Linked DNA regions of Anolis sagrei. The protein of the gene in region 3 binds, or shares a complex with, the protein of the main gene of each other region. Links are inferred from orthologs where the notes say so. Each region holds a gene or a part of one and is shown on either strand. Other genes may lie near its edges.

Evidence for each region.
Region 1: MCM5 (region 3) and GINS4 share a complex: the UniProt entries of both Homo sapiens proteins name them as parts of the CMG helicase complex. The link is inferred for Anolis sagrei from reciprocal best matches to the Homo sapiens genes MCM5 and GINS4.
Region 2: MCM5 (region 3) and GINS1 share a complex: the UniProt entries of both Homo sapiens proteins name them as parts of the CMG helicase complex. The link is inferred for Anolis sagrei from reciprocal best matches to the Homo sapiens genes MCM5 and GINS1.

What each region holds. Positions count from the first base shown.
Region 1 is NC_090027.1:4,068,514-4,080,034, reverse strand, and holds the start of GINS4 (DNA replication complex GINS protein SLD5), read right to left. Parts: upstream 4,579-11,521; 5' UTR 4,532-4,578; coding exon 4,442-4,531; intron 3,848-4,441; coding exon 3,761-3,847; intron 1,189-3,760; coding exon 1,075-1,188; intron 415-1,074; coding exon 317-414; intron 1-316. UniProt on the Homo sapiens protein: Required for correct functioning of the GINS complex, a complex that plays an essential role in the initiation of DNA replication, and progression of DNA replication forks.
Region 2 is NC_090021.1:21,809,670-21,820,196, reverse strand, and holds the start of GINS1 (DNA replication complex GINS protein PSF1), read right to left. Parts: upstream 4,741-10,527; 5' UTR 4,646-4,740; coding exon 4,571-4,645; intron 1,194-4,570; coding exon 1,129-1,193; intron 1-1,128. UniProt on the Homo sapiens protein: Required for correct functioning of the GINS complex, a complex that plays an essential role in the initiation of DNA replication, and progression of DNA replication forks.
Region 3 is NC_090025.1:167,316,825-167,328,109, forward strand, and holds the start of MCM5 (DNA replication licensing factor MCM5), read right to left. Parts: upstream 5,112-11,285; 5' UTR 5,003-5,111; intron 3,469-5,002; 5' UTR 3,458-3,468; coding exon 3,294-3,457; intron 2,403-3,293; coding exon 2,276-2,402; intron 1,197-2,275; coding exon 1,068-1,196; intron 1-1,067. UniProt on the Homo sapiens protein: Acts as a component of the MCM2-7 complex (MCM complex) which is the replicative helicase essential for 'once per cell cycle' DNA replication initiation and elongation in eukaryotic cells.

The DNA.
Region 1 (11,521 bases), on a different chromosome or scaffold from region 3:
GGGATTTATAGTTCACCTACAATCAAACTATTCTGAACCCCACCGATGATAGAATTGGACCAAATTTCCCACACAGAATGCCCCAGCTGATGTGAGCCTCCCTCCAACCTCGCCTGCTCTCCCTCGCCCACACATGTGTACCACGCTACCATGCGCCGAGCATGATTGCTCACCCCCCCCCCCGGCTTGGATTCTCAGAAACAGCCCCCCCCCCCTCTTGGCTGAGAGGCTGGCCAATCAGAGCGGAGGACCCCAGGGGTCTTGAAGCACAGGTTGAGAAACGCTGATCAAAACGAACGAGTCTCCATTCACTCACTCTTTGGCGAAAGCAAACTCTTCTGGAGAGAGGATGGAAGGCTCTCCCTCCGTCCGGGTCTTCTCTTTTTCCAGGACGTGCGGGAAATATTTCTCAATCTAAAGAGAAAATAAAGAGGAGAAGAAGGGCGAGGCATCATCGGGTGAAGGGGGAAGAAGAGCGAAGAGCACTGGGTGCATCAACACAGACGTTAGGAGTATCCACATTTCCAAAGTGACCGTTCACTAAACAATGGGATGGTGGAATTTTAAGCAGAGGATGATGGCTATCTCTCAGGAGTGCTTTGATTGTGTGTTCCCACATAGCAGAGGGTAGCCCCTGGATGGCCTTTGGGGTCTCTTCCAGTTTAGGGTTCTATAATAACTCTGGTGCTCGTCGCCATTTCTAAGCCGAAGAGCCGGCATTGTCCATAGACTCCTCCAAGGTCATGTGGCTGGCATGACTGCATGGAGCGCAGTTACCTTTCCACTGGAGGGGTACCTATTGATCTACTCACATTTGCATGTTTTCGATTTTTATATTCTCAATAAACTGCTTGCTGATTTTTCCCAGCTCGTGTGGTGTTTAAAGTCAGAGGTGACTCTGATACGACAGATCACTCTGCTCCGCATTTATGAGGAGGGTCTTTTGCTAATAAGCCCACTTGCCCAACAACACTGATATAGATATGATACAGAACCACAAAGGCATCCATATGAGGGCAGAAAGATGGCCTAGAGACAAAGGACGGCAACGAAGGAAATACATGACGGAAAGACCTTTCGGATCCGACTGCGCAGATAGCTGCTGAGGACGTAGCGGATCCTCTCCACTTCCATGCGGTGGATGCTGGCCTTCAGGTCCCCTCCTTTGGTGCGCTTCAGGTTCTCCTCCTGCAAAGACACACAGCAAAGGGGTTTTGCAAAGGCAGGAAGGACATCCTGACCCGGGAGGAAGAACTATTTGCCCGGAGAGATTGCAAGAGCAGCTCCACACTTGCATAGGAGAAATCTCACTGAGGAGAGGAATATAAATACAAGGAAATATAATCAAATTGAGTAAATAATAACAATAATAACAATAACAATAACAATAATACAGGAAGGACATTGCTACAAAAGAGGAACCCTATTTGCCAGGATAGATTGGGACAGCAGCTTCACACTTGCATAGGAGGAAATCTCACTTAAGAGAGGAATATAAATACAAGGAAATATAATCAAATTGAGTATAATAATAATAATAATAATAATAATAATAATAATAATAATAATACAGCAAGGACGTTGCTACAAAAGAGGAACCCTATTTGCCTGGATAGATTGGGATAGCAGCTCCACACTTGCATAGGAGAAAACCTCACGTAAGAGAGGAATATAATACAAGGAAATAGAATTACATTTAGTAAATAATAATAATAATAATAATAATAATAATACAGGAAGGACGTTCCTACAAAAGAGGAAGCCTATTTGCCCGGATAGATTGGGACAGCATCTCACACTTGCATAGGAGAAAATCTCACTTAAGAGAGGAATATAAATACAAGAAAAATTTAGTAAATAATAATAATAATAACAATAATAATATAGGAAGGACATTGCTACAAAAGAAAAAGGCTATTTGCCCAGATAGATTGGGACAGCAACTCCACACTTGCATAGGAGGAAATCTCACTTAAGAGATTAATGTAAATACAAGGAAATATAATTAAGTTTAGTAAATAATAATAATAATAATAATAATAATAACAATAATAATAACAATATAGGAAGGATGTTCTTACAAAAGAGGAAGCCTATTTGCCCGGAGAGATTGGGACAGCAGCTTCACACTTGCATAGGAGAAAATCTCACTTAAGAGAGGAATAAAAATACAAGGAAATATAATTAAATTTAGTAAATAATAGTAATAATAATACAGAAAGGACATTGCAACAAAAGAGGAAGCCTATTTGCCTGGATAGATTGCAAGAGCATCTCCACACTTGCATAGGAGAAAATCTCACTGAGGAGAGGAATATAAATACAAGGAAATATAATCAAATTGAGTAAATAATACCACTAATAATAATAATAATAATGATACAGGAAGGACGTTCCTACAGAAAAGGAAGGCTATTTGCCTGGATAGATTGGGACAGCAGCTCCACACTTGCATAGGAAGAACGCTCACTTAAGAGAGGAATATAAATACAAGGAAATATAATTAAATATAGTAAATAATAATAATAATAATAATAATAATAATAATAATAATAATACAGGAAGGACGTTGCTACAAAAGAGGAACCCTATTTGCCTGGATAGATTGGGACAGCAGCTCCACACTTGCATAGGAAGAACGCTCACTTAAGAGAGGAATATAAATACAAGGAAATATAATTAAATATAGTAAATAATAATAATAATAATAATAATAATAATAATAATACAGGAAGGACGTTGCTACAAAAGAGGAACCCTATTTGCCTGGATAGATTGGGACAGCAGCTCCACACTTGCATAGGAAGAACGCTCACTTAAGAGAGGAATATAAATACAAGGAAATATAATTAAATATAGTAAATAATAATAATAATAATAATAATAATAATAATAATACAGGAAGGACGTTGCTACAAAAGAGGAACCCTATTTGCCTGGATAGATTGGGACAGCAGCTCCACACTTGCATAGGAGAAAACCTCACTTAAGAGAGGAATATAATACAAGGAAATAGAATTACATTTAGTAAATAATAATAATAATAATAATAATAATAATACAGGAAGGACGTTCCTACAGAAGAGGAAGGCTATTTGCTGGATAAATTGGGACAGCAGTTCCACACTTGCATAGGAGGAAATCTCACTTAAGAGAGGCCTATAAATACAAGGAAATATAATTAAATTGAGTAAATAATAATAATAATAATAATAATAATAATAATACAGGAAGGATGTTGCTACAAAAGAGGAAGGCTATTTGCCCGGATAGATTGGGACAGCAGCTCCACACTTGCATGGGAGAAAAATATCACTTAAGAGAGGAATATAAATACAAGGAAATATAATTGCATTTAGTAAATAATAATAATAATTATAATAATAATAATAATACAGGAAGGACGTTGCTACAAAAAAGGAAGGCTATTTGTCCAGATAGATTGGGACCGCAGCTCCACACTTGCATAGGAAATAGTCTCACTTAAGAGATGAATATATATATATGAATAAATATAATTATATTTAGTAAATAATAATAACACAGGAAAGATGTTCTTACGAAAGAGGAAGCCTATATGCCTGGATAGATTGCAACAGCTGCTCCACCAGACTAGGCCACAGCAACACATGGCCAGGATACAGCTAGTAATAATAATAATAATAATAATAATAATAATAATAATAATGATAATAATATGGTGCAACGTAGCTGGCCATTTACACCTGTGTGTTTTTATGAACCTTGTCATCTCTCTCACCATGTGCTCCAGCTGCTCAATGACGCACTCCACGATTTCCGACTTGCTCTCCAGCAGCTCAGGGGAAAACTTCTCATTCATCCAAGCCTGGAAAGAGACAGCAAAACCTTGGAGATGGCCCAGATGATGAGAGACACCGGTGGGAAGGATTCTGGGAGTTGTAGTGTGCCTAAATAACCAGCCATGCTGTTGGGGGTAGGGGTTGCTTTTGGGAATTGCATTCCATTCAAACAAAAATAATAATAACAACAATCATAATATAGGGTTGTTGTAGGTTTTTTCGGGCTATATGCCCATGATCTAGAGGCATTCTCTCCTGACGTTTCTCCTACATCTATGGCAAAAAAAATTGCTGATGGGGGGGATTCTGGGAGTTGTAGTATTCCCAAACAGAGTTCTACTCCATCTAAATAAGTTATGGGAGGGATTCTGGGAGTTGGATGGGGAATTGTGGGAGTTGCAGTGTGTTTCAAAAAAATGCTGATGGGAGAGGGGATTCTGGGAGTTGTAGTATTCCCAAACAGCATGTCCCACTGATGAGGAAGCTCATGGTAGACAGTCAAATAAAGTGGCCACATTTGGGGAGGTGATTGGGTTGGAGGAGGGGGGTCCTGGGCCTGCCATAATTGAAGGGGAAGTGTCCTGGGAGTTGTAGTTCCCCCAAGGGCCGCCTGGGCTCACCTGCTCCAGGTGTTGGATGAGCTGGGCCGGGGTGAGCACCACTTCCTCGCCCTCTGACTCCAGCCCGGCTTCCTCCTCCGCCTCGGCCATGTTGGCGCCAAAGGGAAGCCCAACACTTTCCCGCCACGGATTCTAATTAGGTGTGCTGACGTCAGCGACGCTGAGGAAAGAAAGAACGGCACTGGCCCCGCCTACTTATGAATATTGCGCGCCAACATGACTCTCGGCCCCGCCCCTTCACATTCTTAAAGGAGCCGGACAATGTAAATATGTCAAGGCCGGAATCACCCACTTGCTGGCCATCCAAACATCCGGGTAACGTCCTTGCAGACGGCCAATTCTCTCACACCAGAAGCGACTTGCAGTTTCTCAATAATAATAATAATAATAATAATAATAATAATATACTGGAGAGAATAATAATAATAAAATATAATACTATAATATAATAATAATAATATACTTGGAGGGAAGAATAGTATTATTATTTATTTATTTACTTACTTACTTACTTTGCTTCTATACGGCTGTATCTCAAGCCCGAAGGCGACTCACAGCGGTTCACAAACAGTAAAAACAGTAGAAACAGCAGTGGTTCCATACAACATATAACAATTGACTTAACACATTATCCATAAATTACCAATAAGCAATTACAATGCACAATTATTACAAAACACAACCGTACCCAATCTTCTCCTCATCCAAGCGTAGTCCAGATTCGTCGTCCATTGTTCCATTCCTATGTTCCATTACCAGATTGCACTAAATTACTCAAACGCCTGCACAAACATCCAGGTCTTCACCTTTTTGCGGAATACCATTAGAGATGGTGCTAGTCTAATGTCCGTAGGAAGGGCGTTCCACAGCCGAGGAGCCACCACCGAGAAGGCCCTATCTCTCGTCCCCGCCAGCCGAGCTTGAGAAGCAGGCGGGATCGAGAGCAGGGTCTCCCCGGAAGATCTCAAAGTCCTGGTGGGTTCATAGGCAGAGATGCGGTCAGATAGGTAGCTAGGGCCGGAACCGTTTGGGGCTTTCAAGGCCAACGCCAGCACTTTGAATTCAGCCCGGTAGCAGATCGGTAGCCAGTGGAGTTGGCGCAACAGGGGGGTTGTATGCTCCCTGCACTCCGCTCCTGTTAAAATCATGGCTGCCGAGCGTTGGACTAGTTGGAGCTTCCGAGCTGTCTTCAAAGGCAACCCCACGTAGAGAGCGTTGCAGTAGTCTAAACGGGATGTAACCAGAGCGTGGACTACCGTGGCCAAGTCAGACTTCCCAAGGTATGGGCGCAGCTGGCGCACAAGCTTTAGCTGTGCAAATGCTCCCCTGGTCACCGCCGAAACCTGGGGTTCCAGGCTCAGTGATGAGTCCAGGGTCACACCCAAGCTGGGAACCTGCGTCTTCAGGGGGAGTGCGGCCCCATCCAACACAGGCTGTAACCCTATGCCCTGTTCGGCCTTGTGACTGACCAGGAGTACCTCTGTCTTGTCTGGATTCAATTTCAATTTGTTCGCCCTCATCCAGACCGTCACAGCGGCCAGGGACCGGTTCAGGACCTGGACAGCCTCCTTATTATAAGAGGCCTCATAATTTAAGATCTACTGGGGAGGCCCTGCTCTCGGTCCCACCAGCGTCTCAAACGCATCTGGTGGGGACGAGGGACAGGGCCTTCTCGGTGGTGACCCTCTGCTTGTGGAATTTGCTCCCCAGCGAGATTAGATTGGCATCCTCCCTCCTTACTTAAAGGAAAGGAGCCCCTGGTGGCACAGTGGGTTAAACCCCTGTGCCGGCAGGACTGAAGACCAACAGGTCACAGGTTTGAATCCGGGGAGAGGCGGATGAGCTCCCTCTATCAGCTCCAGCTCCTCATACGGGGACATGAAAGAAGCCTCCCACAAGGATGATAAAAACATCAATTCATCCGGGCATCCCCTGGGCAACGTCCTTGCAGACGGCCAATTCTCTCACAACAGAAGCGACTTGCAGTTTCTCAAGTCACTCCTGACATGACAAAAAAAATTGGAAGGAATTACCTACTTGCTGGCCATCCAAACATCCAGGTAACATCCCTTGGGTAAAGTCCTTGCAGATGGCCAATTCTCTCACACCAGAAGCGACTTGCAGTTTCTCAAGTCACTCCTTGACTGGGAGTTTCGGCCTGGACTGCTACCAATATGCAGACGATACCCAACTCCTTCTGCGCCTGGAGTCTGGAGCAACGTCAATTCCAGACAATTTCACCCGATGTCTGGAAGCTCTGTCGAACTGGCTACGTGCTAGCAGACTGAAGGTGAACCCGGCGAAGACTGAGATTCCCTGGCATGGCCGCCCGGCAGGTCTGACTCCTCCGTTGCCCACCTTCGATGGTGCCGCCCTCTCTCCATCGACCACTCTTAAGAGCTTAGGTGTCATCCTGGATTCACAGCTGACAATGGAAGCTCAGGTCGCTGCTGCCACTAAACAGGCCTTTTTCCATCTACGACAAGCGAGGCAACTGGCACCCTCCCTATCTGGCGAGGCTCTGGCAATGGTCATCCATGCTACGGTCACATTTAGGCTGGACTATTGCAACGCCCTGTATGTGGGCCTTCTGATGTCTACGACCCGAAAGCTCCGTATTGTTCAGAATGTGGCAGCCAGGCTACTCACAAGAACGCCCATGAAATAATGCCATATCACACCAGTGTTGCGGCATTTGCATTGGCTTCCAACCAATTACCGTGGTCTATATAAGATGCTAGCTCTGACCTTTAAAGCTCTTTACGGCCAGGGTCCATCGTACCTTAGGGACCGCCTCTCCTTCTCCCATCATCGGAGGTCGCAACGACCATCCCAACGTGACTTACTCCATATCCCGGGTCCTAGAGAAGTGCCCTTGGAAAGGACCAGGCGCAGGTGGGCTTTCTCTCTTTCTGCCCCTCCTGCCTTATTGTGGCATTCCTTGCCGCCCTACATGAGAGCCATGCGTGACTTAGGGCCTTTTACTCTAGCACTTCAGACACCTGGCTTTTCACTAGAGCATTCGATCTCTGTTGATTTTTAATTTTTGTATGTATGTATTTTATCTTTTGTAATTTAGCTCTAAATCGCCCATAGCATTCTCGGATGGAGGGCGATTAATAAGTTATTAAATGATGATGATGATGATGACACAACAAAAAAAAATGGACGGAATCACCCACTTGCTCGCCATCCAAACATCCAGGTAACATCCCTTGGGTAACGTCCTTGCAGACGGCCAATTCTCTCACACCAGAAGCGAGTTGCAGTTTCTTAATAATAATAATAATATAGGTAAAGGTAAAGGTAGTCCCCTGACATTAAGTCCAGTCATGTCTGACTCTGGGGTGTGGTGCTCATCTCCATTTCTAAGCCGAAGAGCCAGCGCTGTCCAAGGTCATGTGGCCGGCATGACTGCATGGAGCGCCGTTACCTTCCCGCCGGAGCGGTATCTATTGATCTAGGTACCGCATCTCCATTTATGAACCCACACGCTCGCTCCGGTCATCTGGGGAGGCCCTGCTCGTGATCCCACCTACGTCGCAAGCGCGCTTGGTGGGGACACGGGACAGGGCTTTCTCTGTGGCGGCCCCCCGACTTTGGAATGCCCTTCCAAAAGAGCTTCGTCAGGCCCCTACTCTAGCAGTTTTCAGAAGGAACCTAAAAACTTGGCTGTTCCGATGTGCCTTCTCAGATTAGGAATCCCCATCCCAAGTCCTAGAAGCACTTTAGCACAACCAATGTTGCTGCACACCGCACTTTTAATCCTACGTTCCTCCTGCCATCTCAGCACTTTTAACCCTGTACCCCATTGCGCCGGCCGAACCAGTTTTAATAGTGTCTTGATGTATTGATGTATTGTCATTGTGGTTACTTTGCTTAATTGTTTGATTTGCTTTGTTTATTGTTGTGTTATGTTTTCTATTGTATTGTGTTTTGAGGCTTCGGCCCGTGTAAGCCGCATCGAGTCCTTCGGGAGATGCTAGCGGGGTACAAATAAAGTTAATAATAATAATAATAATAATAATAATAATAATTGATCTACTCACATTTGCATGTTTTCGAACTGCTAGGTTGGCAGAAGCTAGGGCTGACAGCGGAAGCTCACGCCGCTCCTCGGAATCGAACCTGCGACCTTTCGATCAACAAGCTCAGCAGCTCAGTGCTTTAACCCACTGCGCCACCGGGGGCTCCAATAATAATATATTGGAGGGAATAATAATAATAAAATATAATACTATAATATAATAATATACTTGGAGGGAAGAATAGTATTATAAGAGGCCTCATAATTTAAGATCTACTGGGGAGGCCAGGCCCGTAGCCAGGATTTTGTTTTGAGGGGGGGGGGGCTGAGTTTGGTTCGGGGGGGCTGAGTCTGAGTGAAAGAGGGTCCAGCAAACCTTTTGTATCATTACCCCAATACCCCCCATGCATATGGGATATATTGAGTATGGTGATCAGATCAGGATATGAATAAACATAACAATTTAAATAATGCACCAGTAAGGCCTTCTCGTGGACCACCATCAGAATTTCGGGGGGGGGGGGACTGAAGCCCCCCAACCCCCCCCCCCCCCAGCTACATGCCTGGCGGAGGCCCTGCTCTCGGTCCCACCAGCATCTCAAACGCGTCTGGTGGGGACAAAGCGTTCTCGGTGGTGACTCCTCGCTTGTGGAATTCGCTCCCCAGCAAGATTAGATCAGCGTCCTCCCTCCTTACTTTTAAGAAAAAACTAAAGACGTGGTTTTGGAGCCAGACCTTTGGCTAGTGGGCACAGCAGCACTTTCAGCACTGAACTGACAATAGGATTGTTATGAAAATTGAGAACGGCTATGTGACTTGTGATGATGTCATTTGTACTATCTGATTATGTAATTTTAATTAATATCACTGTTTTAATTGTTATGTAATAGGATTTTATACTGTTGGTTTATATTGTTGTTATTGATACTGTTGGCATTGAATTGTTGCCTGTGTTAGCCGCCCTGAGTCCCCCCTGATGCTGGGGAAAATGGAAGGAAAAAGGAAGAGGGGCCGACCAAGGGCAAGGCGGGTGGACGGCATCCTTGAAGTGACTGGATTGACCTTGGAGCTGGGGGTGGTGATGGCCGATCAGGTCACAAAGAGTCAGAAGCAACTAAACGAATGAACAACAGCAACAACAATACTGGTGTATATTAGGCCTGGGTAACAACGCAAAAATTTGTTTCTAAAATCGATTTGTATTTGGGGTTTTTTTGCGTTTCGATATTTAAAATAATTACAAAACTTTCCTTTAAAAAAGTTCAGTATTTACGAAATTTCGTTAATATTTACGAATCGATTCGTTAAGATGGCGGACCCCCCACGCATGCGCAAATCACCTCTGAAACTTCGTTATGAAAACGGGGGTCGATTCGTTAAGGTGGCAACGAATCGATTCGTTGAAAAAGAAATATTTATCAGAAATATTTAAAAATGGAAAATTAACAATGCTTGCCCTGTTGTGGAGCGAACACATCCACAGGACAGGGACAAACTCTCACACACAGGCACACAAGGGTCTTTTCTTTTTTTAGAATATTTTTTGAATTTTTTGAAGAATAAAAGAAAGATATTTTTCAGAAATATTTAAAAATGGAAAATTAACAATGCTTGTTGTGGAGCGAACACAGCCACAGGACAGGGACAAACTCACACACACAGGCACACAAGGGTCTTTTCTTTTTTTAGAATATTTTTTGAATTTTTTGAAGAATAAAAGAAAGATATTTTTCAGAAATATTTAAAAATGGAAAATTAACAATGCTTGTTGTGGAGAGAACACAGCCACAGGACAGGGACAAACTCACACACACAGGCACACAAGGGTCTTTTCTTTTTTTAGAATATTTTTTGAATTTTTTGAAGAATAAAAGAAAGATATTTTTCAGAAATATTTAAAAATGCTTGCCCTGTTGTGGAGCGAACGGCAAAGCCTCCCCGCTGCTCCCAGCCCAGGGAATGAATGAATGCAAGCAATGAATGAATGCAAGCCAAGCCTCCCTCCCGAACCTCCCGTCTCCTCGCCTTCCCCAGCAATGAGCAATGCGGCCACGCGGAGCCGCTTTTAAAGGGCAGCCCGCCCAATCACAATCAGCCACGGTGCTTGGGAGCGCAGGATTGGCTCCCGGCACACCCAGCATCCTCCATCCCTAAAAACGTCATTTTTGAAATGGGCGGAAGCCCGTAAAAAAGATGGAGGATGCCATTTCGATATTAAAAAACACTTCCGGGTTTGAAAATATGTTTTGTAATCGTTTTGTAATTGCTAAAAATAACGAATATTTAATGAATTACAAAATTAATGAACGAAACCGCCCAGGCCTAGTGTATATCTTATCTATCTATATAAATAAATATGTAATGTTCGTTTGTGGGATTAACAGAACTCAAAAAGCACTGGGCGGATTGACACCAAATTTGGACACAAGATACCTAACAACCCAATGTATGTCCTTCACTCAAAAAATTGATTTTGTTATTTGGGAGTTGTAGTTGCTGGGATTTTTCACCTACAATCAAAGAGCATTCTGAACTCCACCAACGATGGAATTGAACCAAACTTGGCACACAGTTCTCCCATGACCAACAGAAAATACTGGAAGAGTTTGGTGGGCAGTGTTCTTTGTTTTTGGAATTGTAGTTCCCCTACATCCAGAGATCACTATGGAATCAAACAATGGCCCAATTCTATCGTTGGTGGGGTTTAGAATGTTCTTTTGATTGTAGGTGAACTATAAATCCCAGCAACTACAATTCCCAAATGTCAAGGTTCTATTTCCCCCAAACTCCACCAGTGTTCACATTTGGGCATATTGAGTATTCATGTAGAGTTTGGTCCAGATCCATCAATGTTTGAGTCCACAGTGCTCTCTGGATGTAGATGAATTCAAGGTCAATGCCCACCAAATCTACAGCTTTGGTGTGGTGGTGTTTGGGAGCAAGGTGAAAACTACCCTGAGTTGCAACAGTAATAAAGTTTACAGCATAGAAGATATTCCCAACCCTCTCTAAAACTCCTCAATTTCCCTTTTGTGGAACAACAACAAAGCGGC
Region 2 (10,527 bases), on a different chromosome or scaffold from region 3:
TGAATTTCTGCCTCATTTAATTTTCAGTCAGGATTAAACTTTCACAGTCAGACTAGCTAGCATTTCATTTGAAATGATTTCTAAAATGTTTCTGAAAGTCCCATAATTTGTACCGAAATCACACTTAATTGGGGAAAAATTTAAGGTGTGAAAGCAATGGAGTTACTGGCAAGTACTTGGACACATGCAATTTATGTTATTATTGTGTTGTCGAAGGCTTTCATGGCCAAAATCACTGGGTTGCTGTGAGTTTTCCGAGCTGTATGGCCATGTATAAATATGTGAGAGGAAGTCACAGGGAAGAGGGAGCAAGCTTGTTTTCTGCTTCCTTGGAGACTAGGACGTGGAACAATGGCTTCAAACTACAAGAGAGGAGATTCCATCTGAACATGAGGAAGAACTTCCTGACTGTGAGAGCCGTTCAGCAGTGGAACTCTCTGCCCCGGAGCGTGGTACAGGCTCTTTCTTTGGAAGCTTTTAAACAGAGGCTGGATGGCCATCTGCCGGGGTGATTTGAATGCAATATTCCTGCTTCTTGGCAAGGGGTTGGACTGGATGGCCCATGAGGTCCCTTCAAACTCTTTGATTCTATGATTCTATGTTCCTAAAGCATTCTCTCCTGGTGAAACATCTGGAATGCTTCTGACGTTTCACCAGGAGATAATACTTCTGGAACATGGCCATACAGCCCGGAAAGCTTGCCGCAAACCTATGTTATGAATGTTGTATGAAAACATTCTATATTACATTCTTTTAAAATTAAATATGTGAAGACTATATGCTATTTTCTTTTCAGTTTTTATCTTAATGGAACAAATGTTGTTTTTCCCAAATAAAATCTTTCCTATTCTTCAGCATTAGCTATTCTTAAAGTTTTAGCTACGCAGTGAGCTGTCAGGGCAAGATCCTATACACTTGTAGGATAGTATAAATACGCACCACTGTAGGGCCCCACGGATGTGCAACTGACACACAGGCTTTGATTTCACTCATTGGACTATGGTTGATTAGTTCCTCACACATCAAACCAAAACAGAAGACCTTGAGGGCTTGTGGAACAACTGACTGCATGAAGAGCTACAATATTTATTATTTAGATGTATTATTTGTTTTACTGAAAGAACTTACACATCACTTTGGTTCTGTTCATATAATGCTTTCATCTCCTCAAGAACTTGTCTAATTCCATCCTCCTGAAATTTAAAACAGCACCAGCTTCAACAAGTATTTCAAATAGTATATAGTGCTTACAAAGACTTCAATTAATTAAAATTCAAGCTTCATTTCCTTTCAAATATCTATTCACTGTGAAAAGGAGGCCATAGGCTAAGTTTATACCTGAATACACATTGTCCTCCATACTCATTAAAATCGCCACTCCTTGAAAAAAATTCCAGTGCTATCTGTGCCTCTATTCAGAAGATTTCACCTAACTTTCTGTCTCTGTGATCATTGGATTTTGGGGGGGGAGGGGGGGGAAGGCTTGTTGTGGATAAAGCTTCAGCAGAGACACCTTTACTCCTTGATAAATCTTTCAGGAGTGGATTTCCTTTCCAAGGGGTAGATTTCCTCTCACTCTGTGTTGTCTCAGCCCCGTTCTTAACTAGAAGTTGTTTGTAATTCATTTGTTTGTAACTCAGGAACTGCCTGTACATGGAAGTAAGGCCACGTATATTCTTAGTGTCTTTTGAAGTATCATAGAACAGAGGCCCGGGAAATAAAAGTTCCATAAATGTAGGATATATTTATATTGTAGAATTCACACAGTCTGATCCTATTTTTATATTATATTTTTTCACTGATTTACTTTTAATTGTCTATTATGTTTTGTACTGCCATTGCATGTTTGCCATTTTTACTTTGGAGGCTGCCCTGAGTCCCCTTGGGGAGAGAAGGATGGTTAAAAATAAAGTATTATTACTATTATTGCTTTCAACTGCCATGGCTCAATGCAATGGAATCATGAGAGTTGTAGTTTCATAAGGTCTTTAGCTTTCTTTTCCAAAAAAAAAAAAAAGTGTTGGTGCCTTACCAAACTACAAATCTCATCATTCCATAGCATTGATTGTTTTTATCAACCAGAGCAGTGGATGTTTTAAACTGTTTTTATATAACGTAATTTTTTATTTGTGGATGATAGTTTTGTGTCAATTTAATGTTTTGTTTCGCTTTTTAATAGATGTTTTTATTTATTTTATCATATTTCAATACAGTGTTTATACATCATTCGTTTTACAGAAGACACATTATATTCAGAACAATTTACACTACATTAACTCTTTGGCATCTACTGTTATTTTTACGTTTATACATATTTTTCATCTCTCACCACCATGTTCCCCTCCCCCCAAGCCACAGCTTCCATCCAAAATTTCATTTCCCCCTTTGTCTTTCTTTTGAATCCTTTTTCAATAAATGCTCTTCATACATAACCAAAATCACTTTGTTTCCAAATCCCTCTTTTAACTTTTAATTTACACGCCAGATTGTCATTTATTGACAATTTCCATACCTTCTTATACTTACACTTATACCTTATCTTTCCCTTTTCCAATTCCATGCTATAAGCAGTCTTGCTACTGTTAATAAGTTTATTGTCACATCTTTGTCCTCTTTTTTCACTTTTGTTTCACTTTAACATCGATTTTGTGTTGTTATTTTGTAGACTGAATTTTAAATTTGTTTAATGTATTGTCGAAGGCTTTCATGGCCGGAATCACTGCATTGTTGTAGGTTTTTTGGGTTGTATGGCCATGTTCTAAAAGCATTCTCTCCTGACATTTCGCCTGCATATGGGGCATACATCCTCAGAGGTTGTGACGTTTGCAGGAAACTGGAAAATTGGGTTTATACATCTGTGGAAGGTCCAGGGTGAGAGAAAGAACTCTTGTCTGTTGGAGCTAGGTGTGAATGTTTTGATTGGCCACCTTGATCAGCATTTGATGGCCTGACAGTTTTTAGGTGTCACTGGGAAATTTCCTTGTCGAGAAGTGACCAGGTGTTCTGATTGTTTCCAGGCTGGAGTTTCCCTGTGTTTGAGGGGTTTTTTTAATGTTATAATTTTAGAGTTTTTTAGTACTGGTAGCCAGATTTTGTTCATTTTCATGGTTTCTTCCTTTCTGTTGAAATTGCCCACATGCTTGTGGATTTCAGTGGCTTCTCTGTGTAGTCTGACATGGTGGTTGTGAGAGTGGTCCAGCATTTCTGTGTTCTCAAATAATATGCTGTGTCCAGGTTGGTTCATCAAGTGCTCTGCTATGACTGACTTCTATGGTTGAAGTAGTCTGCAGTGCCTTTCATGTTCCTTGATGCGTGTTTGGGCAATGCTGATGCATTTGGTGGTCCCTATGTAGACTTGTCTACAGCTGCACAATATACGGTAGACTCCTGCACAGCTGCATGGTATCTGGTAGACTCCTGGCAAATTGGTTACTTGTTATATTACTGTTTATTGTTTGCATTGGTCACATTTTTGTAAGCCACTCCAAGTCCCCTTGGGGAGATGGGGTGAGATATAAATAAAGCTTATTATTATTATTATTATTATTATTATTATTATTATTATTGAACCATGGTAGCTAAAGTGGTGCCCGAACTCTTCAATCTTCAGGCAAGGCCCTCTTCTCACCCTTGCCAGTCTCTCAGACTCGCTTTGTGGGTACAAGGGAGACAGCCTTCTCCTCTGTGGCCCTCCGACTCTGGAACTCATTGCCCGGAGAGATTAGGAAAGCTCCTTCTTTAGAAACCTTTAAAAAGAGTCTCAAGACCTGGCTCTGCCGTTGCACCTTTGGAGAGTAGTTCACAAAACTTCATGCTATTACTCCCTCAGCATTCTTGTTATGTAGGTTTATTATCCCGTCTCTCTATGAGTTCTCCATACAATTAGTTTTACCCCTTTATCTCACCAGGAGTTTTCAAATCATTTTATGTACAGGAGGCCTCTTTTTATGTACAGGAGATCTCTTTGTCTTTATGTTTGGTTTTTATGTTCTATGTATATTGTTTATATGCTTTGATGTTGTTTACTTTAATGTTGTTTTGTTGTTTATTTTACTGTAATTTTGTATTTTTTGTATTGTAATTTGTCGTTCGGACTTGGCCCCATGTAAGCTGTTGGGTGAGATGATGGCAGGGTATAAATATTATTATTGTTGTTGTTGTTCTACAATGCACAGTGACATCACTTTAAAGGTGTTTAAAAGGCTGTTAGGAATTCTGGGAGTTGAAGTCCAAAACACTTGGGAGGGCCCAAGTTTGCCCAGGCCTAGTATACATGCATCCTAAATTTATGAAACTTCCCTTTCTCAAGCTTCTGTTCTATGATACTTCAAAATACACTAAGACTATATGTGGCCCTACTTCCATATTGTCTACCTTTAGAAATAGCCATGGTTATATTCTCTTGCGGCTTTAGATAATGATAGGAATCTATTCCCAAGCAGCAGAGCCACAAGTGTGTTTTGGACTCCAACTCCCAGAAGACTCCGCTGCCTTGGCCAATGAGCAGGAATTCTGGGAGTTGAAGTCCAAAACACTTGGGAGGGCAGAACCAAATTTTAAACAGGCTCACGTTGTAGGAAGGCAGCTGCCCGTCGCTGGCGCGGTGGAGCTCCCGGATGAGCTCGGTGGCTTTCTCGCAGAACATGGTTTTCTCCCAAAACCGGGCCCAAAAGAAGCCTCTCAGCGCCAGAGGCCCTCACCCGTCGACCGCCAGAGGAGAACTAAGTGAAACCCGCGCCTCGAAGCCGCTCAGCCAATAGCAACGCAAGAAAGTTGAGAAGAGGCGGGGACAAACATCCTCTCGTACGGGAGAGGAGAAGGGACAAACGAGCGTGTATCGCGCTTTTAAATTCCTTATGCTCCTGCAACTCTTGGCATGCCACCTGCATTGCAGGATGCAGCTTGACACCACTTTTATAACTCCAATGCAATCACTAAAATGACAAAGGGTCTGGAGAACAAGCCCTATGAGGAGCGGCTTAAGGAGCTGGGCATGTTTAGCCTGAAGAAGAGAAGGCTGAGAGGGGATATGATGGCCATGTATAAATATGTGAGAGGAAGCCACAGGGAGGAGGGAGCAAGCTTGTTTTCTGCTTCCCTGGAGACTAGGACGCAATGGAACAATGGCTTCAAACTACAAGAGAGGAGATTCCATCTGAACATGAGGAAGACCTTCCTGACTGTGAGAGCCGTTCAGCAGTGGAACTCTCTGCCCCGGAGTGTGGTGGAGGCTCCTTCTTTGGAAGCTTTTATACAGAGGCTGGATGGCCATCTGTCACGGGTGATTTGAATGCAATATTCCTGCTTCTTGGCAGGGGGTTGGACTGGATGGCCCATGAGGTCTCTTCCAACTCTTTGATTCTATGATTCTATGGGATTTGTAGTTTGTTGAGGCACCAATCCTCTTTGGCAGAGAAGTCTAACGGCCTTGTAAAGCGACAACTCCCAGGATTCTACAAACCTGAGCCATGGCAGTTAAAGCGGTGTCAAACTGCATCAATTCTACAGTGTATAATGATGCACCTTTTCCATACACTGCAGTTTGATGCCACATTAATTGCCATGGCTCAGAGCTAAAGAATTCTTGGATTTTTTAGTTTTGCTGGAGATTTATCCTTCTGTGTTCAATCTGGTGCCACAACAAACTGCAAATCCCAGAAGTCCATAGGCTGAAGCTATTTATTTATTTATTTATTTATTTAGAGTTTTCATACCCCGGTCTTCTCACCTTCGGGGAGGGGCTCAGGCCGGCTAACAACATAAAATTCAATACAGTAAGAAAAACACTATAGGTCACCAATATAAAATACATTAAAATACACTTCATACAATTCATACAAATTACAGCAAAAATCAGTTTGTCCAAAAGAATCACAAATTCATCGCCATCCGCCAGAAAGGTCAGCAGTTATTGACTCAGTCATCATTCTGCGAATGCAGTATCCCGAAGCCATGTTTTTACCTGCTTTCTAAACGTCAGGAGGGAAGAGGCCCTTTGGAACTCCCTCCCGATGGAGATCAGGCCCGACGGCGAGAAGAAGGCCTACGTTCGTCTGGCTCCGGATTACGACGTCGTAATCCGGAGCCAGACGAACGTAGGCCTTCTTCTCGCCGTCGGGCCTAATCTCCATCGGGAGGGAGTTCCAAAGCCAAGGGGCCACCACCGAAAAGGCCCTGTCCCTCGTCCCCACCAAACGCGATTGCGAAGGTAGTGGAACTGAGAGCAGGGCCCCTCCAGAAGATCTTGACAACCTTGATGGTTCATAGGGGAGAATCCGTTCGGACAGGTAAATAGGTCCAGAGCCGTTTAGGGATTTATAGGTCAACACCAGCACTTTGAATTGTGCTCGGAAGCTGATTGGCAGCCAGTGGAGCTGGCGCAACAGAGGAGTAGTATGCTCCCTGTACCCCGCTCCTGTTAGTAATCTGGCTGCCGCTCGTTGTACTAGTTGTAGCTTCCAGGCAGTCTTCAGAGACAACCCACGTAGAGAGCATTGCAGTAGTCTATACAGGATGTAACCCGTATAGCTATGGTACTTAAAGTGCTGTCAAAATGCTATAATGCTGCAATGTGAATAGTCCCTCAGTCATCTTTTCCCCCCTTTTAAATATTCTTAATAAAATATTTAAATTTAAATAAAAATATTTAAATCTATGTATATAATAAAAGTCAAAACTTGTATGCGGAGGACAAAAGTGTGGCGGGAGGAGTATGTGCCAGCGTTCTGATTGGCTGCCGCTGTGGTGCTATTTGCATATGGTCTCTGATTGGCCAGCTTCAAGAGGAGCCCCTGGTGGAGAAAAGAGTTCATGGAAGAAACGGGGACATGAGAAGGAAATTTGCATATGGTCTCTGATTGGCCAGCCTCAAACCCAACATTCTGAGATGACAAAGAGAGGAAAGGAAAGGCCAAAGGGGGCTGGGTCAGAACACTCCCAATACAGACCGAAATTGGCACACAGAGCCCCCATGACCCACTCTACATCCTACTGCAGTTTGGAGGAGGATGAACCTTGGATGATGGGACTTGGGGTACCATCACTCACATTCTGAGACCGCTGTTAACCTCATCCAATGACTGATCAGGACCAAACTTGGCACATAGACCTCTCATGCCCCACTTTACATCCTGGTGTGGTTTGGTCGGGGATAGACCTTGGATTATGGGACTTGCAGTACCTTTGCTCAATTCTTGAGACCACTGCAACCCTCATGCAATTACCGATAAAGACCAAACTTTGCACACTGAGTCTCCATGACACACTCTACATCCTGGTGCGGTTTGGGGGAGGATGCACCATGGACGATGGGACTTGCAATACCTGCACTCCCTTCCTGAGACCATTACAACTGCCAACAGTGATGGATCAGGATCACAATTCGCACAGAGAGCCCACATGACCCACTGTACATCCTGGTGCAGTTTGGAAAAATATGGAAATGGATGATGGGACTTGAAGTCACTTCACTCACTTCCTGAGACCACTGAGACCCTTGCCAATGACGGATCAAGACCAAACTTGGCACACAGAGTCCCCATGACCCACTCTACATCCTGGTGCATGTTTGAGGAGGACAGACCATGGATGATGGGACTTGAAGTACCTCCACTCCCTTCCCAAGACTGCTGCAACCCTCATCTAATGTCCGAACAAAACCAAACTTGGCACACAGAGCCCCCATGACCCACTCTACATCCTACTGCGGTTTGGAGTAGGGCATACCATGGATGATGGGACTTGCAGTACCTTTACTCACTTACTGAAACCACTGCGACCCTAATCCAATGACCGATAAAGACCAAACTTAGCACACAGAGCCCCCATGACCCACTCTGCATCCTGCAGCAGTTTGAAGGAGGATGGACTTTGGATGATGGGACTTGCAGTACCTTCACTCACTTACTGAAACCACTGCCACCCTCACCCAATGACTGATAAAGACCAAAGTTGGCACACAGAGCCCCCATGACCCACTCTATATCCTGCTGCTGTTTGGAGGAGGGTGGACCATGGATGATGGGACTTCAAGTACCTTCACTCACTTCCTGAAAACAATGCAACCGTCATCCAATGACCAATAAAGACCAAACTTGGCATACAGAACCGCCATTACCCACTTTCTCTAATAACCCGGGCAGCGCCAAAAGTGTGGCGGGAGGAGTATGTGCCAGCGTTCTGATTGGCTGCCGCTGTGGTGCTATTTGCATATGGTCTCTGATTGGCCAGCTTCAAGAGGAGCCCCTGGTGGAGAAAAGAGTTCATGACAGAAACGGGGACATGAGAAGGAAATTTGCATATGGTCTCTGATTGGCCAGCCTCAATTCCAAGATTCCGAGATGACAAAGAGAGGACAGGAAAGGCCAAAGGGGGCTGGGTCAGAACACTACCAATACAGACCAGACTTGGCATACAAAGCCCCCATGACCCACTCGACATCCTACTGCAGTTTGGAGGAGGATGAACCATGGATGATGGGACTTGCAGTACCATCACTCACATTCGGATACCGCTGTTAACCTCATCCAATGACTGATCAGGACCAAACTTGGCACATAGACCTCTCATGACCCACTTTACGTCCTGGTGTGGTTTGGCGGGGGATGGACCATGGATTATGGGACTTGCAGTACCTTTGCTCAATTCTTGAGACCACTGCAACCCTCATCCAATTACCAATAAAGACCAAACTTGGCATACTGAGTCTCCATGACCCACTCTACATCCTGGTGCGGCTTGGAGGAGGATGCACCATGGACGATGGGACTTGCAATACCTACACTCCCTTCCTAAGACCATTACAACTGCCAACAATGATGGATCAGGACCACAATTTACACAGAGAGCCCGCATAACCCACTCTACATCCTGGTGCGGTTTGGAAGAATTTGACAATGGATGATGGGACTTGCAATCACTTCACTCACTTCCTGAGACCACTGAGACCCTTGCCAATGACTGATCAAGACCAAACTTGGCACAGAGAGTCCCCATGACTCACTCTACATACTGGTGTACTTTCGAGGAGGACAGACCATGGATGATAGGACTTCAAGTACCTCCACTCTCTTCCCAAGACTGCTGCAACCCTCATCTAATGTCCGAACAAAACCAAACTTGGCACACAGAGCCCCCATGACCCACTCTACATCCTACTGCGATTTGAAGTAGGGCATACCATGGATGATGGGACTTGAAGTACCTCTACTCGCTTTCCGAGACTGCTGCGACCCTCAACAATGACTGAACAACATCAAACTTGGCACATAGACCTCTCATGACCCACTTTACGCCATGGTGTGGTTTGACTGTGGATCGAGCATGGATTATGGGACTTGCAGTATCTTTGCTCAATTCCTGAGACCACTGCAACCATCATCCAATTTCCGGTAAGGACCAAACTTGGCACACCGGGTCTCCATCATGCACTCTACATCCTGGTGCGGTTTGGAGGATGATGCACCATGGCCGATGGGACTTGCAGTTCCTTCACTCACTTAGTGAAACTACTGAGACCCTCATCCAATGACTGATGAAGACCAAACTTGGCACACAGAACCCCCATGGCCAACTCAACATTCTGGTGAGGTTTGGGGGAGAACAGACTATGGATGATGGGACTTGCAGTACCTTCACTCACCTCCTGAAGCCACAGTGACATTCATCCAAATACCAATAAAGACCAAACTTGGCACAGAGAGCCCCCATGGCCAACTCAACATTCTGGTGATGTTTGAGGAAGACTATGGATAATGGGACTTGCAGTACCTTAACTCACTTCTGAGACTGCTGTGACCCTCATCCAATGACTGATCAAGACCAAACTTGGCACACAGAGCCCCCACGACCCACTCTCCATTCTGGTGCAATTTGGAGGAGGATGGACCACAGATGATGGGACTTGCAGTACCTTCACTAACTTCCTGAGACCACTGCGAGCCATATAAATAACTGATAAAGACCAACCTTGATACACAATTTCTTTCTCAAATAACCCGGGCAGCGCCGGGTCCCCAAGCTAGTATTAATATAATTTTAAAATCCCATTTCTTCTGATATCAGGTGGAATTGATTCCTGAACACCTCTTTCCACCATTGATTCAGCTACAGACACATAGCAACCTGTTAACATTTTCCCCTGCAATATTACTTCCTGGTACAAAGTACTAAACATCTGTAGCCTTAGTCATTTTCAGATACAGGGTGGACCTGGCAAATCTAATTTTAAAATGTGGACTGTTTTATTAGGGACAAAGGGAAAGTAGGCTGCAGTGAAGAGAATAATATTATCATGGGCATTTCGTAATGTGGTGCCACCTTTTCCTACCAGGGATATATCTCACCTCTCCTTTCACTGTTTTCTCATCCTCATTCCAACCCTTGGCTACGTTCTTTGAATCCTGTGGCTATATTCTTATGCATGTCAGCCTAGAATTAAAATAATTAATTATACTTTAGACTTTGTATTTCTAGGTGCAAAATTTACTGCAGACACAGACTACAGCCAGGAAATCAGAAGATGTTTAC
Region 3 (11,285 bases):
AACACAAAACATTCAAAGCAAATGCAAGATTCACAAATTCCCACTTCTCTGCCTCAGTACTGATCAAAATCTGTTCTGGAAGCACAAGGTTCCAGTTCATAAAAGAAATCAAAATGAAGATGTTTTAGGATAGATTTTCATGCCCAGTACTATCCTTTCTATGAATTTACTAAGTCCTGCTAGAACTCTATGATAACGTTCAGGCAAATTATGCCATATAATTGCCTGGAGGACCTGGGAAATCTTTAAGAGACTATTTGTCACCTAGACATGGGTATGTGAACCCAGAGATACAGGTTACATGACTATGAGGGTCTTAATGTAGACCAGGGCTCCTTAAAATTTTCCACTCGCAACCCCTTTTGGCCTGAGAATTTTTTACATAACTCCAGATATTTTGGTATACAAAATAGGGGGGGGGGGGGGGAATCAAACATTTACTGATTTATTTATTGTGGGGGGCCATCCAGTTGGAATTGCCTGATTTTGCTTCCCAGAGGGATACTGTTGTTGTTGCTGGGGGAACGTTAAGAGGAGTGGTGGTTCTCATGAAGCTTTTCCTTGATTTGAGTCTACAGAGAGGAGGCTGATAGCCATGCAGTGGATGGCTTTCATAGTGTTCAACCTTATTTCTCTCACAGTTAGCAGCAACTTTCTGTTGCATATCGGGGGCAATGCAAGATGTGGGTTTGAGACATCTTGCAATTATTCTACATGTTTAGTTCAGTACTATAGTCACCTGTTTTGTGTGGACAGACTTGTGCTAAACAGGGCAGGAATACTCACAAGTTGAGTAAGACAAGGCCAGGGCTAATGGTCTTATTAATTAATTAATTTACTGACAATAAATCAGCATTTACAAGGCTTGCTAAACAGGCTGATAGTACTTTTTTTTAATTACACCTGAACATCTTCTGTAGAGTCTACTGTAAACACTACACAACAGAGTCATGTTAACATCTAAAGCTTTTACTGTTGTCAAATTTTTCAGGACCTCAACACTGAGCTAAGGAGACCCCATTTGTGGCTGGGACCCACAGTTCCCCCCAAAGCAGAACCAAGCTCACCTTGAGGCTGCGGATGTTGGATGGATTGGCATCAGATCTCAGCATAACCTGAACCTCTTGAAGATCCTCTTCTCCCACCGGACGAGGACGTGTTACTTCATCTGCTACCTCCTTTGCTGCTTCTTCTAGCTGGAAAAAGAATGACAGCAGTTTGGACAATGGAGGACAGTGATCATTATTTCATCTAATAACAAACTTCAGTGGCTGAGTAACCATCAGAAATTAAGAGTTTCAAGCAGTGTTTCTCAAACTGTGCTCCTCCAGGTGTTTTGCACTTCAGCTCCCAGAAATCCCAGCTAGTTTACCAGCTGTTAGGAATGGTGGGAGCTTATGTCCATAACATCTGGAGGAACACAGTTTGAGAAATTCTGGTTTAGAGGCATGTTCAAGTCACTCGTGAAGTATGTGGAAACATCAAAACCTTTTACTTTCCACATGTGTGAACTATGCTAATCTGTCATTGGGCAAATACAGCATCAGTGAAGTAGCGCTCAACATTTCATTCTCCAGATGGTCTTGATCATAATTCCCAGAAACCTTTGTTTACACGATCAACTTGCAGAACACTCTGGGAACTGAAGTTTGAAACATCTGAAGGGAAAATGCTAAGAACTACTGGTGTAATGGCATCTTAAAAGACTTAACATCTAGCTTGTTAATCTCTAAAATTGCCACTAGGTTAGTAATATTTTTTTAAACCAAAATGAAATACATCTAACCCTATATCTCAAAGATTCAACAGTTACAGGTGATTAACGATAGTTTAAAAGAAACAAATAGAACACTAGACTGGGATTGGAAGAATGAAAAGCAAGATTTTGGAAGAGCATACAGGACACCAGGTTGAAGGCTCTACATGCAAACACTAATATTGAAGCAGATCTAACTGCAGCTATGGCTAGTGGGCAATGTTCTTTCCCTGGGACTCTCCTGGAGCCAGAAGAACTATCACACATGTTCTCCAAATAAAAGGAAAACAAAACCAAATGAGGCAGCAACCTATTGCTGGTATTGAAAAATGGATATTACACAGTGCAGAGGCTACTACAGCTTCATAAATGAATTGCTCAGGAAGGGATTCGGTTTAAGTAATATGGAAGATCAAGGGCCTCAAAAACAGCACTGGGTCCTGAATGTGTCATTTGAATGGCACTTTGACCACAATATCTCTCTTTCAGGCAGCATTTCTCATCCCATCCCACACATACCAACTGGAGGTGTTCTGCAGGCTGCTTGTACAGATAGTCTGCTAGGTCTTCATCAAAGCTTGCCAAGTCTTCCATCTCCACTTCAATCCAGTACTGGCCCAGATTGTAATGCCGTTTGAGTTCATCTCTAAGACAGAGTGAGAACAGCAGGAGTAGTGAGGGCATGTGAGACTGAAAACAAGCAGCTTACAGTCAAGAACACACTTGTTAGAGCACTTTTACCAAGAAAGATAAATTACACTAACACAGCCATATTTAATCCCAACTAGCAGTACATTTATATTTATATAATTATAGAGATGGAAGGGACCTTGCAGGCCATCCAGTCCAACCCCCTGCCAAGAAGCAGGAAAATCACATTCAAAGGAGCCCCGACAGACAGCCATCTAGCCTCTGTTTAAAAGCCTCCAAAGAAGGAGTCTCCACCACACTCCGGGGCAGAGAGCTCTCACAGTTAGGAAGTTCTTCCTCATGTTCAGGTGGAATCTACTTTCCTCTGGTTTAAAGCCATTGTTCTCCATCCTAGTCTCCAGGGCAGCAGAAAACAGGCTTGCTCCCTCCCCCCTATGACTTCTCCTCACATATTTATACATGGCCTTCATCATGTCTCATCTCAGCCTTCACTTCTGCAGGCTAAACATGCCCAGCTCTTTAAGCCGCTCCTCATACGGCTTGTTCTCCAGACCCTTGATCGTTTAGTCACCCTCCTTTGGACGCATGCCAGCTTGTCAATATCTCCCTTTAATTGTGGTGTCCAGAATTGGACACAGTATTCCAGGTGTGATCTTACCAAGGCAGAATAGAGGGGTAAGCCGACTTCCGAGGATCTAGACGCTATGCGCCTATTTATGCAGGCCAAAATTCCATTGGTTTTTTAAGCTGCTCCATGGCATTGTTGGCTTGTGTTTAACTTGTTGTCCACGAGGACTCCAAGATCTATTTCAAACATACTGCTATCAAGGCCAATCAACTATGAAGTGTAGCAAGAAAAGTGATTTTATTTGGGAGGAAAGGGCACCTGTATTTGAAATTGAAGCCAGTGCGGTCTGTTCCAACCCGATACTGTCTCAAGAACTCTTTGAAACGCTTCTGCAACTGGGACTTCCGGATCTGGCCCTCATCTCCCCCTGTGTCACCAAAGCTGTCGCTGTAGAAAATGCCGGGATCATCAAAGCCAGACATGGCGTCTCACTCTGCAGGGAAAAACAGAGATAAAGAAAGGATCTGAAAGGATGCAGAAATATATATAACCATCATCCAGGACAAAGGACCTCATCACAATGAATATGCTTTACATCCGGTTTCTGCCTCCTGCAGAATTCTGGGGCTTGTAGTTTAAGTGAGGCTGTTAAAGGCTCCTCCCTAAACTACAAAGCCCATAATTATGAAGGAGGCAGAAACTGGATTTAAAGTGGATTCATTCTCTAGTGTGATGAAGTAGAAAGTCTAAATGTTTAAAGTGCATCTCAACATGTAGAAAGCTAGTGCTATGCAAACTCTGCATAAATCAATTTTCTCTTCTTTTACTTAGGATGTCCTTTCCCCTTCCCTCCAGTTAAATGAAGGCTTGTTTTTCTTAAAGTGCATCTACACTGCAGAATTAATGCAGTTTGACACTACTTTAACTGCCATCGTTCAGTACTTTGGAATCTTGGGAGCTGTAGTTTTATTAGGTCTCTAGCCTTCTCTTCCAAAGAGTACATGCTCTGTTTACATCCCGTATAGATTACTGCAACACACTCTATGTGGTGTTGCCTTTGAAGAGTGTTTGGAAGCTTCAACTGGTCTAGCGAGCAGCAGCCAGGTTGCTCACTCGAGCGGCACTCAGGGAGCACACAACCCCATGTTGTGTCACCTTCACTGGCTCCCAGTTTGCTACCGAGCACAATTCAAAGTGCTGGCTTTGGCCTATAAAGTCCTAAACAGTTCTGGCCCAAGCTACCTGTCAGAACATATCATTTCCTACAAACCAGGGCGGGGTACAAGTATGGCAAATCTATAGAAATAAAAATGTAATGTTCGTTTGTGGGATTAACATAACTCAAAAACCACTGGGCGAATTGACACCAAATTTGGACACAACACACCTTTCAGGCCAACGAGTGACCATCACTCATAAAAACACTAAAAAATACAGCAGAAGAGACTTCAAAAGCCAAAACAAATAAAAATGCATTACTATGCACGCAAAAACCAAATACATACACATATATGCACACACAAAACACATATACACAGACTGGGCCACAGCAACGCGTGGCAGGGGACAGCTAGTAAATAAATAAAAGAAATAAATACTAAACTACAACTCCCAGAATGACATAACATTGAGCCATGGCAATTAAAAGTGATGTCAAACTACATTATTCTACTGCCGATGGATCCCAGGACAGTGTTTCCCAGACTGGATTTCCTGATGTTTTGGACTTCATCTCCCATAAATCCTGTCTTTGTCTAAGCTGTTTGGGAATTATAGGAGTTTAAAGTCCAAAACTGGTGGCGCACCAAAGTTTGGTAAACACTGGATGAGGGGAAATATCCTCAAGGCTGGAAACTCAGCTCAAGAAGCCATCTTTAGCCCGGCTCTATAGCACTTCAGTAATTAGTTAGGTTAGATAATTAGAAACTTCATTAGGAAGTGAATAGTTGTCAAAAACTAGTTACAAAGACAAGGAAAAAGGACTATTCCTCGTCTAACTCCCAGCAAAGACTAGTTACTGCACCAACCTTTTCCTTTTCCTTTGGAATTTCTATTTTCCACTTAAGCAGACCTTTCTTCAGTGCCGAGCAAAAAAGGAGAAGGCGGAGAGAGATTTTCGCGGGAAAACACTTCGCCCCGCCTTCTGACGGTCGCACGCCGACTGCTCCCATTGGTTACAAAGAATTCAGCCATGCGCGATTGGCTTTGCTAAAATTTGCCGAACCCCGCCCTTTCTGTGCTTGGATTTCCATATTTTCAATCCGATTGGAGGAGGCAGAAAGAAGAGCCCGCCCTTGCTTCGCCTGACTTTTCCTGGAACTTTATTTTAGCGCCAGAAAGCCTCTCGCACAGAACTTAAGAAGAGGCTTAAGATGGAGGCTGTAGGCGGAAGTGGGAGGAGCTAAAGGCATGTTCAGCTGTATCTTCTTATTGGCAATGGGAAGTTAGCTGTCAGACACACAGCCAATGTTAAAAATATCATAAAATACTCAAAATAGTTTTGTGCATGAAGCAAGTTTGTGTCCACTGAAGTAAAGGTGTTGTTTCTAATATGAGCCAAGAAGGCCATAGGAAAGTCATTGTTTCATCATATTAAGGTAAAGGTAAAGGTAGTCCCCTGACATTAAGTCCAGTCATGTCTGACTCTGGGGTGTGGTGCTCATCTCCATTTCTAAGACGAAGAGCCAGCGTTGTCCGTAGACACCTCCAAGGTCATGTGGCCGGCATGACTGCATGGAGCACCGTTACCTTCCCGCCAGAGCAGTACCTATTGATCTACTCACATTTGCATGTTTTTGAACTGCTAGGTTGGCAGAAGCTAGGGCTGACAGCGGAAGCTCACGCCGCTCCCCGGAATCGAACCTGCAACCTTTTGATCAACAAGCTCAGCAGCTCAGCGCTTTAACCCACTGGGCCACCCGGGTTATCCATCATATTATCGACTATGAAAGGTTATATCAGGTCCTAGCTGTCCCCTGCCACGTGTTGCTGTGGCCCAGTCTGGTAATCTGGAAAATAAAGAAATGAGAAAGTCTTGGTTTCTAATATATGTAATTTCTTGATGCTTGTGAGTAAACAGTATTTCTTGTTGTTTCTTTGTCAGTGTTGATGTAAAGATTGTCTGGTTTGCCTACCCTGAAACATGCAGCATGCTCTTTAGGGGTTCCTTTCAAATCTATGATACTATATCTTTCTGTGCATGAATCATATATATCTATCGTAGTGTCTAGATCTAGGGAAGTAATGCTACCCCTCTATTCCGCTTTGGTTAGACCACACCTGGAATATTGTGTCCAATTCTGGGCACCACAATTGAAGAGAGACAAGCTGGAATGTGTCCAGAGGAGGGCGACTAAAATGATCAAGGGTCTGGAGAACAAGCCCTATGAGGAGCGGCTTAAGGAGCTGGGCATGTTTAGCCTGAAGAAGAGAAGGCTGAGAGGAGATATGATAGCCATGTACAAATATGTGAGAGGAAGCCACAGGGAGGAGGGAGCAAGCTTGTTTTCTGCTTCCTTGGAGACTAGGACGCAGAACAATGGCTTCAAACTACAAGAGAGGAGATTCCATCTGAACACGAGGAAGAACTTCCTGACTGTGAGAGCCGTTCAGCAGTGGAACTCACTGCCCCGGAGTGTGGTGGAGGCTCCTGCTTTAGAAGCTTTTAAACAGGCTGGATGGCCATCTGTCAGGGGTGATTTGAATGCAATATTCCTGCTTCTTGGCAGCGGGGTGGACTGGATGGCCCATGAGGTCTTTTCCAACTCTTTGATTCTATGATTCTATGATTCTATCTATATCCATGGCTGGAAGGCTCTTTGTCAGGAGGGCTTTGATTACATTTTCTTGTCCTGGTGAAGGGAGTTGGACTGGATGGCCTTAAGTATTTTCTGTGGTCATGGGGGTTCTGTGTGGGAAGTTTGCCCCAATTCTGTCGTTGGTGGGGCTCAGAATGCTCTGATTGTAGATGAATTGAAAATCCCAGTAACTACCAATCCCAAATGTCAAGGTCTATTTCCTCCAAACTTCATCTGTGTTCATATTTGGGCATATGGAATATTTGTGCCAAGTTTGGTCCAGATCCATCATTGTTTGAATCCACAGAGCTCTCTGGATGTAGGTGAACTACAACTCCCAAACTCACAAATTTTGCATTTTGTCTGTTTGTTTGCTTTGTTCTGTTAGAAATGTAATATAATTTGACTGGTTGTCCTGACACGACAAATAACTCCCAAACTCAAGGTCAACACCCACCAAACCCTTCTAGTGTTTTCTGTTGGTCATGGGAGTCCTGTATGCCATGTTTGGTTCAATTCCATAATTGGCGGAGTTCAGAATGCTCTTTGATTGTAGGTGTACTATAAATCCCAGCAACTACAACTCCCAAATGACAACATCAATTTCTTTGAGTGAAGAACATACATTGGGATGTTAGGTGTATGCTGTCCAAATTTGGTGTCAATTGGCCCACTGGTTTTCGAGTTCTGTTAATCCCACGAACTAACATTACATTTTTATTTATATAGATGGGCAAACCCAGGGCCCTTGGGCTGTTCTCAGCCCCTCCTCTCTCTCACCATCCTATCCTTCCTTCTCTCCTTCCTTCCTTCCCTTCTTTATTTTATTTTGCTGAAAATTAAATTTTATTTTTAACAACCATTCAAGCAAGCAATAAATTAAGAGTCACACCAAATTGCTAATTTTCCAATATATATCATTTGGCATTGCTGAAATTAAAATACTGAATAAATACAGGAATTAATATAAAATATTGCATAAATAACATGAAATAATATTCACTTTATAAGGTCACAATTGGACCGTACGACACTAGTTCGTATGTCTAGCGAAGTGCTTTCCAGTTTCAAAAGTAGAACTTCTGAATATTATATCAATAGTAGTCAATTGAATTTAAGTTCATTTGTAAGACTTCCCTTCTTTATTTACCCCCTCTTTCCCCCTCCCATAAGGATGGGAAAAAGTGCATCATGAGGATGAATCTGTAATTGGGACAGAAATGGGGGGTTTGTGTTCATTCGTCAAAGGCACATCAGAAGAGCTGCTTGCATAGGGGCTTGCCTAATCTCACTAGGTAGCAAGTTCCAAAGCCAGGGGGCCACAATGGAGAAAGCTCTTTCTGTGGCTCTAGAGACCAGGGCACAAGGGAGCAATGGTTTCAAATGGTAGGGAAAGAGATTCGACTGAAAAGTTTAGAAAGAACTTCCTGAGAGTAAAAACTGTTGGAGTGTGGCATAGGCGTCCTTGAAGTGTGGTGGAGTCTCCTTCTCTGGAGGCTTTTCCACAGAGGCTGTCTATCAGGAGTGCTTTGAGTGTGCCTTCCTCCATAGCAGAGGGTTGGACACGCTGGCCCTTGGGGGTCTCTTCCAGCTCTAGGATTACATATCAAGAGAAAGCAATACAGCAGTGGTTCTCAACCTGGGGTCCCCAGATGTTTGTGGCCTTCAACTCCCAGAAATCCTAACAGCTGGTAAACTGGTTGGAATTTCTGGGAGGTGTAGGCCAAAAACATCTGGGGACCCCAGGTTGAGAACCACTGCAATACAGGGTCTAATGCAGTGGTTCTCAATCTGTGGGTCCCCAGGTGTTTGGGACTTCAACTCCCAGAAATCCTAGCTAATTTATCAGCTGTTTCTGGGAGTTGAAGGCCAAAACATCTGGGGACCTACAGATTGAGAACCATTTATCTAATGGATATACTTTTTCTCTCTCATCCACCATTTCCTCCTGGGATCCAAATGTTTCCTGTCTTTTCTCCACTTTCTGCTTCTGAAAGAGAAGAGGAAGGGGGGAAAGGGCAGGGAGGGGACTTGGGGAGAATCTCCTACCTCCCAGCCCACCCACTCCCCTCTGGCCTGCTACGTGGCCCCCAAGCTAGAAAGTTTGTCCATGCCTGGATTATATGCATGAAACTCTTAGACCATTCAAAAGTGCCATGGAAATAAGAGGTAATTGTAATCTTGTGCAGTTCATGTAATGTTACCATTGTGCCCACAGGTGGAGCTATGTTCTCACTCTAAAGAAGGGCCTGGTTAACATAAGAGTTGACTCAAAGACATGTGGGAAGGAATTGCCAGGCTAGAATTGATATGAGACATAGAACCACCTGCAATGTGTGTATGTTGGGGTTCACAGTAAATATTGAAGTTTGATAGCATCCAGGAGAAAGTGAAATTACTTTAGGGATTGTGGGAGTTGAAGACCAAAACACCCAGAGGGCCGAAGTTTGTCCATGCCAGGTTTAGATACACCCTAAGTTTTTCTCCAAGGCTATACAGTTACTTTATAATGATGCAAGAATTCAGTTGTGTGTTGCCTTGTTTGCGTCTCTCTTTAGGAAAAGTTACCATGAGTTGTCACTTTTTAACTTCAGCAACTACTTGAGTTTCAACATACATTTTTTATAAAAAAAACTCAAAGATACTGTTTTGTTACTTTGTGGCAGCATATAATAGCCACCTTGTTGTTGCTGGTGCTGTTGAGAAATGTGTTTCTGCCAGTTCTTCCCTCTGAATGTAGCCTATAACACCAGGTATGCTTTGGGGCCTCCCACCCAAGTACTAACCAAGACTAGTCCTGCCCAGATTCTAAGCTCAGATGGCATCTAATGCCTTTAGGATGTTTAGGCTTTTATTTACCAAACCGATTTCTTTAAAGATCACAGGTGGTTTGTGAAGCAACCAACATGGCATCTTTTCCCTAGTATACCTGTTCCATCCTAGCTTTCCAGGGATTTGTTTCCAACTGGAGTAGATATAGAACCATAGAATTGGAAGAGACCTCATGGACCATCCAGTCCAGCCCTCTGCCAAGAAGCAGGAAAATCACATTCAAAGCACCCCCAACAGATGGCCATCCAGCCTCTGTTTGAAAGCCTCCAAAGAAGGAGCCCCTACCACACTCCAGGGCAGAGAGTTCCACTGCTGAACAGCTCTCAATGTCAGGAAGTTTTTCCTCATGTTCGGGGGAATCTCCTTTCCTGTAGTTTGAAGCCATTATTTTGCATCCTAGTCTCCAGGGCAGCAGAAAACAAGTTTGCTCCCTCCTCCCTATGACTTCCCCTCACATGGCTATAATGTCTCCTTTCAGCCTTCTCTTCTGCAGGCTTAACATACCCCAGCTCTTTAAGCTGCTCCTCATAGGGCTCAATCATTTTAGTCGCCATTCTCTGGCCACATTCGCTACATCTCCCTTCAATTGTGGTGTCCAGAATTGGACACAGTGTGATTCCAGGTGTGGTCTGACCAAGGAAGAATAGAGGGGCAGCATGACTTCCCTGGATCTAGACACTATACTCCTATTTATGTAGGCCAAAATGCCATTGGCTTTTTAAGCTGCCGCATGACATTGTTCGCTCATGTTTAACTTGTCCACAAGGACTCCAAGATCTTTTTTCACACATGCTGCTATTGAGACAGGCATCCTCCATTCTTTATCTTTGCATTTAATTTTTTCTGCCTAAGTGGAGTATCTTGCATTTGTCACTGTTGAGCTTCATATTGTTGGTTTTGGTCTATCTCTCTAATCTGTTAAGGTCAATTTGAATTCTCCTCCTGTCTTATATTAAAATGAACATGACTTGATAATACCAGTCAAAGTTGCATTGATTTCAGTGGGTCTACTCTAGCTAGGATTGACATTGAATTTATCTGATTGCATGTACCTACCGAATATAGAAACAGAGGCAACAAACAATGAAATAGGCTTCCACATGGTGGAAAATTAGTTTTTGGGGCTGAGCTACCAACTGGAATAAGTTCATACAGTGAACAATAAAGAAAAAAATCACTTCAGTCAACTCAAAAGAAATTTTAATGGTTCAATATATAACATATAAAGACAGATTACAAATATAGTAGGAAATGGTTCATTCACTAGTTCATTGCTGAGGTATAAATATGTTTCAAAAATAGAAACATAGTATAAAACTTGTTTAAGCAAAGTCTTGTTTTCCAGGACGGGTACATGTAGGCCATACAACATCGGAAAATAATACAAAAACAAACACTGGACAGAGTAACTGCAACAACATTGATTTCTCAGAGATCTAAGAGAGAAAGTGCTTGATCTTTGTGGTTCTTCCCTTTGTTTAAAGGCGTGCCATACTGTGACATTTCAGGATCTTTGCAGAAATGTTCTCCCCACTAATGTTTCAATTTTCAAACCATTTGCATCTTCTGTATTGTTAGTAAAACAAGAACAGCTAAGCCTAGGTCATCCAAGTTGGGGCTTCGAAGCATATCTTCCTTGATTATAAAAAGAGCTGTAAATTTAGGAAAGGGCAAGAACTGG